Schizosaccharomyces pombe: one gene and its partner. The protein of the gene in region 1 interacts with the protein of each later gene in a biochemical or structural test. Each region holds a gene or a part of one and is shown in the gene's direction. Other genes may lie near its edges.

Region 1 (4,843 bases):
TCCGCCGAGATGATGATCGTATGCTTGAACAATATCAGGACTTCTGATATCAAATTGAAGGATCCTTTTGTCAGCTGTTCCTGCTAAAAACTCGTTGGGTTTATCAGGATCTACTTGGAATTTGACGCAGTTTGTTAATCTATCTGAATTAAAGCAGTTCAAACATTTCCCTAATTCGGTATCCCAGAGTTTAATTGTTTTATCAAAACTAGTACTTAAGAATGATCGTCCATCTTGGCTAAATGATAAATCGCGGATAGGACGAGCGTGTCCTTGGAATGTACGAAGCAAAGAACGGTCATGGTAAACTTCCCAAATCTAAATATTAGTTTATCATCTTTTTGCTTACAAACATACCTTTATCTGATTATCCATTGAGCCAGAAAGAAGTAAATGGCCACTAATCGGAAAAAACCTAAGGCAGGAAATACCTTTCGTATGACCTTTCCAAGTGAATATATGCTTCTTTGGAATGTAACAAGTTTGTTCACCAGGCTCTTCCGATAAATTTATTCCGACGTCATTCGGGACATGCATATAGCTTCTATTTTGATAATCAAATAATCTATCTTTATGAAGTATAGTCTCTTCTTTAGAGCGATGAGTTTCAACTTCTGGAGTAGCTAATTGTTCCTTCAATAATTCATTTTGACCCAGGTTATTAGATTCCGTATCCTTTTCACTTTTGACATCCAGGGATTCAACCTCTTCATATTCACTGTACTCCAAAGGTGAAGAGGATTGTTCAGAACCGTATCCGGCCCATGGCCCCTTATAAGCACCATCCCCTTCAAGGATAGATGGATCGCCAGGATCCTCTCTACGTTCTTTTATTTTCTGGGACTTCCTTTTTAAATCTGTAGAAGTAGTAGCTTCGTTATCATCAAAATTTCGTTTTCCATAAATAGCATGTGTATTAGCATAATATTCTTGATTAAATACAAAATTTGGAACATATTCCCTCTCAGCATAACCGGTAATACTGTTCTTTATAGAATCCTGTTCTTTAGTGACAAATGGATTTGCAGGCCCTAAAGCAGGCTGCACCATTTCATTAACCGGGACATTACGCGCTAATTCTCTAGAGTTTCCTCCCTTTGAAACAATTAAATCATCCTTTACCTAAAATGATTAGCATGTTATAAAAAACATTTGATAAATACGTTATCAACCACAGCTGGCGCTAAATTTTCAGTATGCAGAAGAGGTTGGATGTTAGGCGATTGGGAATTCTCCTGTTCTTCTGAATCACTAGAATAGTTTGCAACCAACATAGAAATTGCAAACGGCGAATATGAAACCAGCAAATTCGTATGGTAATGGTTTAAGGAAGATTAAGCTGTAGGGAGGTTTAGCGAGGATGAGAGATTCCTGGCTAATATCAATTAGCGAAAATGAAACACTACAGCTAACTCATACTTCTGCTTATTAGGATAGGTAATAGATAATTCATTGATTAAAAAATAAAGGAATGTAGTAAAAACTAGAAATAAAGTTAGTTATTTAAAGAGGCATGGACTTTTTTAAACTGTAAAAGAAGTTATCCAGTAGTGCATATACACGACGTATGATAAATAGTATTTAATTGAAGTTTGTTTGCTCACATAAGCTCATGACTTTAAAAATTTCATTTTGGTACGATAGTTTACCCCTTTAGTAAATTCATTTTCTAGTGTACTCACAGTATTTTTTGTGTTTGCAAGGCTAGGACAGAGAACCTGTGTAAGTCTAATTTTTTGAAATTATAAATTTTTTAAGAGTTTTTGTTGATTAAACTTTTTCTTGAAGAAAGCTTTGAAAAGCAAGCTTTGTCAATTCAAATTCAAGAATTGGTTTAGTAGATTTAGCTTCTAATTTAACGAAGGGCTTTTGGACATCATAAAGGGTTACTTTGTTACTTTCAATTGTACTAAAATTAAAAGCGACGCACCTATGCATCCTCAGTTGTGAAAACAGCATTCTGGTTTCTGAATTTTTTCAATAAAAAGAATTTTATGTTGAAAAAATGTGGATAATTGAGGCTGAGGGTGACATTCTAAAAGGTATCTCTTACTAGCTATATCAATTTCATTATGGCCGTATTGTACGTACTAAACAGCAGGAAAATCACGGATACTATTTCCAGGAACTTATATTGTAGGTCGAAATGTATCTGGTAAGTTTCTTATTTTTGTTAATTTTCTAATATTGCAGACGATTCGTCCCACATTCAAGTGATTTCTAAATCAATTAGTAAACGCCATGCTCGTTTTACGATTTTGACCCCAAGTGAGAAAGACTACGTACGTATCCAATTAAATGGAAATATTGAGCTTTTCATTTTTCATTTCTATTATATGTTTATCTTTCTTATATTTTAAATCAATGCCAGCTAATATGTGCACAGTTTACCGGTGGCCCATGCGAGTTTGAAGTAAAGGACCTCGATACGAAGTTTGGAACCAAGGTTAATGAAAAAGTTGTTGGTCAAAATGGTGATTCTTACAAAGAAAAAGATCTTAAAATACAACTGGGTAAATGTCCATTCACGATAAAGTAAGTTTTATCGACTATATATGATTTACTAACTTTAAGTGCATACTGGAGAAGTATGTGTATACAATTCGATAACCCTGAAATGTTATCCCAGTGGGCTTCAAATTTAAACCTCTTAGGTACTTCGGTCTTTTTTTTTTTCACTTCTTATCAACTTTCAGGTATACCGACTGGACTACGCGATAGCGATGCTACTACCCACTTTGTTATGAACAGACAAGCTGGGTCCAGTATAACTGTTGGAACTATGTATGCTTTTCTTAAAAAAACTGTAATTATAGATGATAGCTATCTTCAGTACCTATCAACTGTTAAAGAATCCGTAATTGAAGACGCCAGCCTAATGCCAGATGCGCTTGAATGTTTTAAAAATATCATAAAGAACAACGATCAATTCCCGTCATCTCCTGAAGACTGCATAAATTCATTAGAAGGATTCAGTTGCGCCATGTTAAATACGTCGAGTGAGTCCCACCACTTATTGGAGTTATTGGGTTTGAGGATATCGACCTTTATGAGTCTTGGGGATATAGACAAGGAATTGATTTCAAAAACGGATTTCGTTGTATTAAACAACGCAGTATATGACTCTGAGAAGATTTCTTTCCCAGAAGGTATCTTTTGTTTAACTATTGAGCAGCTATGGAAGATAATCATTGAAAGGAATTCAAGGGAACTAATCTCAAAAGAAATTGAGAGGTTAAAGTATGCTACTGCTTCTAATTCAACCCCCCAAAAAATTATTCAACCCCAACGCCATATCCAAAAGAACATCGTTGATGATTTATTTTCTGTAAAAAAGCCATTGCCTTGTTCGCCAAAAAGCAAGCGAGTAAAAACGCTAGAAAACCTTTCAATTATGGATTTCGTACAACCTAAACAAATGTTTGGAAAAGAACCTGAGGGTTATTTAAGCAATCAATCAAACAATGGTTCAGCTCAAAATAAAAAATCGGGTGATAATAGTGAAAAAACTAAAAACAGTTTAAAATCCAGTTCAAAAAAATCGGCAAACACAGGCAGTGGTCAGGGGAAGACCAAGGTTGAGTATGTTTCCTATAATTCAGTGGATAAAGGAAATTCTTCTCCGTTCAAACCATTAGAACTTAATGTTGTCGGTGAGAAAAAGGCCAATGCGGAGGTAGATAGTTTACCTTCAGAGAATGTCCAAGAATCTGAAGATGATAAAGCATTTGAGGAAAATCGTCGTTTACGAAACCTTGGATCTGTCGAATATATTCGAATTATGTCATCCGAGAAATCGAATGCTAACAGTAGGCATACTTCAAAATATTATTCGGGCCGTAAAAATTTTAAAAAATTTCAAAAGGTATGTGGTATAATAAAGAAAATTTCGACTAATCTTTTTCATACAGAAAGCTTCACAAAAAGCACCTTTACAAGCTTTTCTCTCTTTATCTGAGCATAAGAAAACAGAAGTGTTTGACCAAGATGATACAGATTTAGAGCCTGTACCAAGACTCATGTCAAAAGTAGAAAGTATTCCTGCCGGAGCATCGTCTGACAAAAGCGGCAAATCATCAATTTCTAAAAAATCGAGTAATTCATTTAAAGAACTATCTCCTAAAACCAATAATGACGAAGACGATGAATTTAATGATCTCAAGTTTCACTTTTAATAAAGCTATTATTTCCAAAGAATTTTTGTAGTTTATTAACTGTCAAAAAATGCATTACTGATAGTCAGTTTTTTTGTTTATAGTAAAAAATAGAGAAGCTACACTTTTAATAATATTGTACTATTATTGACTACTTACCTGAGATATCGTATTCAGAATGAAATCCAAATATTTTATTTTTCAACTCCTAAATTAAAAAATGATTTAATTATAAAGGTTACTTTTCAATGCTGGTTTAAATATTTCGTTTGCATCTGCAATGGTATATTTCTGCGTAGCAATGTACGACCTCATATTTTCAACAAAGATGACCACTGAGAAAATTGTTGAGCAGCTATATGAAACTGGAGATTATGAAAGGTATAAAAGATAGGCTTTCTTTTTTAAAAAAAAAATTTTATAACTAAACAACAATTTAAAAAATGTAGGCTAGCAAATGAATTAGAATACAAACTTGAATCCTGCGGTTGGACAACTCAATTACGTGACTACACTCGGGGAATTGTGAATTCCGATTCTAAAATTGATTTTCAAAAGCTATATGAGAGCGCCTTGCAGTCTGCAACTGAAAGTATTCCCGATTCGGTTAAAATGGACTTGCTCAAAGACATTAAGACCTGCGTTCTAAAGTTGGCCAATCCTCCTGAGTCAGCAAATGGAGGGAATAA
Region 2 (4,776 bases), on another chromosome or scaffold:
TATCACTTCAACTTGCGGTTTCCCATCCATTTTTTATTTATGAAAGGAAAAGATAAAACAACCCAGAATTCTGACTACTGCTATTACACCCAAAAAAAGGGTAATATGTAAGAAATATGGCAATAGGTTGAATTATGTGTTTACATACACACAGTACGTAGGCATTACTGTTTAGAGGCCAATTTAACAAAATACACCGATGCACTAAATAATTTAATGTAATTAAAGCTATCCTACAAGTATAAAGTTTTGTAAACAAATAACTAATAAACACTTGAAAAGAAACATTATGAAAACGGTATTAATGAAATCTTACTATAATTAATTTAATTTAATTTAGATTATCACTAACGAGCAATTTTCCAGAAAATAATATCCCCGGGTTCGACAGTATAATCTTTCCCTTTCGTTTTGCACTTTCCTACGCTTTTACAAGCATCTACTGATTTGTACTTTTCGAAATCAGAAAACTTTATAACTTCTCCTGCAACGAACTTCTTCTTGAAATCTGAATGTATTATACCGGCCGCGTCAGGCGCCTTAGAGCCGTCGGCAATAGTCCAAGCTTGAACGATTTTTTCACTAGCTGTGAAATAATGTATCAAATTAAGTGCAGAATATCCCGCACAAATAATTTCTGATAATTGAGAATTTTTGCCCAAACTAGCGCATTCCTGCGCCGCCTCTTCAGGCGTAAGCATGAATAGCTGTTCTTCAAACAGAACTGAGAGAGGTATCACTTGATCACCAAAACTATTTTTCTCAACCCATTCTTTGATTCCTTTTAATGCTTCTTGTTCATCGGAAAGATAATCGTCTTGATCCATATTTACCAGATACACCACCGGTTTGGCAGTGAGTAAGTTTAAAGAATTTAAAATGGGAATCTGCTCGTCATTCCATTCAGCTTTAGATATTTGACGGCCTTTTCCTAATACTACTTCTAATGCTCTTCGTGCCGTATCAAGAGCTTTTGCACATGTTTTGGGCGAGCGGCCCTCCTTTTTTAAATATGATTCTAAAAACTCTGCGTCTTTTAACAATAGCTCTTCCTGTATTATTTGTAGATCTCTTACTGGATCAACTGACTTTTCAACATGAGGAACTTGAGCCTCTGGAAATGCACGTACCAATTGAAACAAAGCATCGACGGATCTAATGTTTGAAAGAAACGCATTTCCAAGACCTTCTCCCTTGCTTGAATTCCTTGTCAACCCTGCAGTATCATAAATAGTTAATTGCGCTGGGATACGCGTTTTAGGCTGATAAATTTCACAAAGCAATTCATACTGTGAATCAAGTACAGGGGCTTTTGCATGAACGGGATCGATTGTAGCGAAAGGGTCTTATAAATTTGTTTTGTTAGACAACAGAAATACAAAATATTATATCACTTATAATCAAAACTAATACTTGACTAAAATATGACAACGTACAGTTAGCAGGATTTCCCAGGTTTGTCTTTGTAAGAATTTGACTATATTTATTGTTAATACCGATCAATGAAGCAAATTTATCAGTTAAACCCTTGAACAAACGTACAATAAGGTGGATTTCCCAATGTTGGGCATTCCTACAATGCCAATTTTCAAATGATTTCCAGGTCGTCCCAATCGTTGCCGAACAATAGAAATATCCTTTTGTTTTGAATAGTATCTCCTAGTACAATTTACAGAAGGTAGACACTTTTGCGTTGACAACACTATCCTTGTAACTATACCACGCATTTCTTAACCATTCGATGAATTAATCACAGAGTTGTTGCTAAGCTTTTTCACGCAGTAACCAAAACATTAATTGTTAATTCCTCCTTGAAATTTTTATACGATCAATAGCAGGATTTGTAAAATGGAGATACAGTTTGGAAATCAGAGGTGTAGGATGGTAAATTCTGGGGGTTTTCTAGCTACTGATGGTTCCCATCTGAAGGAAATGGAAACAGATGATGTTCTTGTTGAATTCTTAAATATAGAACATCAACTTTTTATTCGAAATATTCGAGCTATAGTTAAAATAGCCGATACAACGGTGCTTCCATCTGCTAGCGACAAAAAGCTTCTTTATTATGTTTTTGACGAAACGGTATTATCTTTTTTCTATTGATTAATTGAGTAAGCTAATTATATACTTTTTTAGAGAGTAAGAATCAACGATACTCCTGTAATTTTTTCAAAATTAGAGGAGGATAATGCAAACGTGAATGAAGGATCCAAAATGGGAGTTATGACTGTATGTGCATTCCCTCATTATACTATTGTCAAAAAGACACTAACCTATTTTCCAAGGTCCCTAATACCCCGCAGAAGCCAAATTTGCAGCAACAAAAATTTGAAGCGATCAATGCGAATGAAGATCAAATTGATTATTCAAGTAACTTGGAACAAAATTACAATTCTTTAATTAGGCAAGGATCTGACCAGGTCATTCCCCTTTCGCGATTCGCTTCAGAAAAAAGTGCTTTAGAATTGGAAAAGGAACTCTTTTCTGAGAGAATTCCAGAATCGCAATCTGCCGCTGAGCCTGTTCTTAAAGTTGAAAACTCTGAGAATGATTTGGACGAAAAATTGGTATTGGACGGTCAACATGTGGAAGGCGACCATAGTTCTGACACTGAAGAGGAGGTTGTTTCTGAAGATCAAAAACAGTTGAATAAGACCGACGATGAGTCAACATTTATTGAATCACACCAAATTTATATACAAGGAGAAACAAAATCTCCTTCTTCTGTCTCGCAATCATTGAGTGGAGACCCATCCTTGAAGCCAGCAGAGGTATTTGATAGAAAGCAAAGTGCTGAAATAAACTCACCAATTGAGAAGGATGTGAATCCACAGCAAAACATATCGGACAGCTCTATAAAGAACAATAGCATTCACAGTGATGAAGTAAATCCAGAGGTTAGGCCAGATTTAACCCCCTCCAACGAAAATGAAGAAAGTAAAAGAAGTGCGCCGGAAATCGCTCTCAAAGAGAAGGAATCCACATCCCAGGATGAAAGTAACAGAGAAGCAGAAGAGGCACCAATTTCCACTAATTATTCTTTCCCCTCATCATCTTTAGAGGATCAACCTGACAAGAATGTGCAGTCCTCGGCAGTTGAAAATAAAAACAAGCACACAAATCTGGTAACGTCGAGTTTCAACCTAACTAAACCGATGAAAAGTTTTATAAGGAGAAATGGTCTAAGGGTGCAAGAAAGTGTCACAGACGAAACCGACTTTGTCATCCTTGGTTCACCTCCACTTCGGAGGACACATAAGTTTTTACTGGCGACTTCTCTAGGTATACCACTTGTCTCTTCTCAATACTTGACAGACTGTATAAAATCAGGTAAAGTTTTAGATTTTCGTAGCTACAAATATAAAGACGAGGAAGCAGAAGCCAAGTGGGGATTTCGTTTGGACGATATCCACAGAAGAACGTGTTTCAATGGGAAAAGACTATACATTACAAAGGCAATTCGAGATTCGATGGTAGGGGATTCTATACACGGACTTTACTCAATTTTGGAAACATCTGGAGCTGAGGTAAGTGAAAGATGGAGAATATCTAGTTATGATAGGCTAATGATTTAAATAGATTGTTGGTGATATTAAAAGGGCTCAAGAGAAGGACACAATTATACTTGCTCAACCTGACAACGATCAAGAAGGACGGAATATGAGTGCTACTGGTTTAAATGTGTACAAGATTGAACTAGTAGCTTTATCCATCTTGCGTGATCGAATTGATTTTGATGAATTTTTGATTGACTATGATGCTGACAGTCCCACCAAAGTAATTGGAAAAAGAAATGTCTCAAAGGCATCCCGAACCGGGCAAGGAAGAAAACGATCCTCTCGTTCATCTTGGAACAAACCAAGTGCAAAGGAGCAAAGAACATAAAATTAAAGGTAAAGAGGACATCGTTTACTTTGTCTATTATTTATTTATAGAAGTATATTTGCAAACATATATTCTTGAGTTTCTTCTATGAAGGAGGACCATTAGAAATTATACAAAAATAGAATTTTAATAATGATATTAAATAAACGAGCGTATTTAAGGGCGAAGGATAAAAAACCTACACGGTTATTTAATGAAATATGCGATCTGTTAGTTGATTGTTAAAATCTTGAACCAATAAATTCAAGATACTCAACATAAATGAATCGATTTCAATACGCTTTTTTTTCTATTTTCCAGATAATGTATGAAAAAAAATAGTTTGACCAATTCCCGAAATTTATAATTATTACATCTCAATTAAAAAAACAAATAAAGAAATAAATAAAATGATATGAAATGAAGTACAAAAGGTTAATAAAAATAAATAACAAATTTCTACACGATTAAAAGATATAAAAGGTAAAAATCTTTATGAGTAGAAAAACGCATATACTTATTTGCGGTTTTAAGAGGAAGTAAAAGGAGGTAATTCCGAAACATAAAAATAAAGGGGCCTCATTATAGTGCTTCTTTTTAGTCTTGCAATTTTATTTTATTTTTTGAAAAGGTTTAGTTGTTTGTTTATTGACTACAAAACACAGCAAATCCACTCGTCATATCAGATCAAGCATACCGCATATCTAACAAATGATTCTGCAATGCATTGCACTTCACTGTATAAAATTTATTCATAAAATGCGCAATATGTATATCAGGCACTTATAGGTTTACCCAAATATGCTGTTAAATGGAATACACAGTTTTTTGCGCCATCTTACCATTTATAAAGCGTGAATTTAGAGACCCGCACATGCTTCCGCACACGGCCAAATGAGCGCTAAACCTCGG

What was found. The genes of interacting proteins can lie anywhere in the genome.
Region 2: the proteins of nbs1 (region 1) and mdb1 form a complex in vitro, tested with the Schizosaccharomyces pombe proteins (one study listed by BioGRID).

Annotation. Positions count from the first base shown.
Region 1 is NC_003423.3:2,648,077-2,652,919, reverse strand, and holds nbs1 (Mre11 complex BRCT domain subunit Nbs1), read left to right. Parts: upstream 1-1,942; 5' UTR 1,943-2,005; coding exon 2,006-2,042; intron 2,043-2,101; coding exon 2,102-2,155; exon of another isoform or gene 2,156-2,193; coding exon 2,194-2,282; exon of another isoform or gene 2,283-2,386; coding exon 2,387-2,535; exon of another isoform or gene 2,536-2,574; coding exon 2,575-2,654; exon of another isoform or gene 2,655-2,684; intron 2,685-2,696; coding exon 2,697-3,865; intron 3,866-3,911; coding exon 3,912-4,175; 3' UTR 4,176-4,343; downstream 4,344-4,843. Other genes in the region: Prp19 complex WD repeat protein Prp17, read right to left, coding at 1-318, 358-1,122, 1,164-1,274; SAGA complex deubiquitinating submodule subunit, TREX complex subunit Sus1, read left to right, coding at 4,456-4,535, 4,604-4,843. UniProt on the Schizosaccharomyces pombe protein: Component of the MRN complex, which plays a central role in double-strand break (DSB) repair, DNA recombination, maintenance of telomere integrity and meiosis.
Region 2 is NC_003424.3:2,882,293-2,887,068, reverse strand, and holds mdb1 (BRCT domain protein Mdb1), read left to right. Parts: upstream 1-1,727; 5' UTR 1,728-1,848; coding exon 1,849-2,082; exon of another isoform or gene 2,083-2,136; coding exon 2,137-2,229; exon of another isoform or gene 2,230-2,285; coding exon 2,286-3,527; intron 3,528-3,579; coding exon 3,580-3,885; 3' UTR 3,886-4,276; downstream 4,277-4,776. Other genes in the region: iph1 (metallopeptidase), read right to left, coding at 1-30; SPOM_SPACUNK4.13C (NTPase Ylf2), read right to left, coding at 348-1,345, 1,437-1,477, 1,543-1,727. UniProt on the Schizosaccharomyces pombe protein: Involved in DNA damage response (DDR) mediated through its interaction with phosphorylated H2A proteins hta1 and hta2 which mark the discrete foci of DNA damage.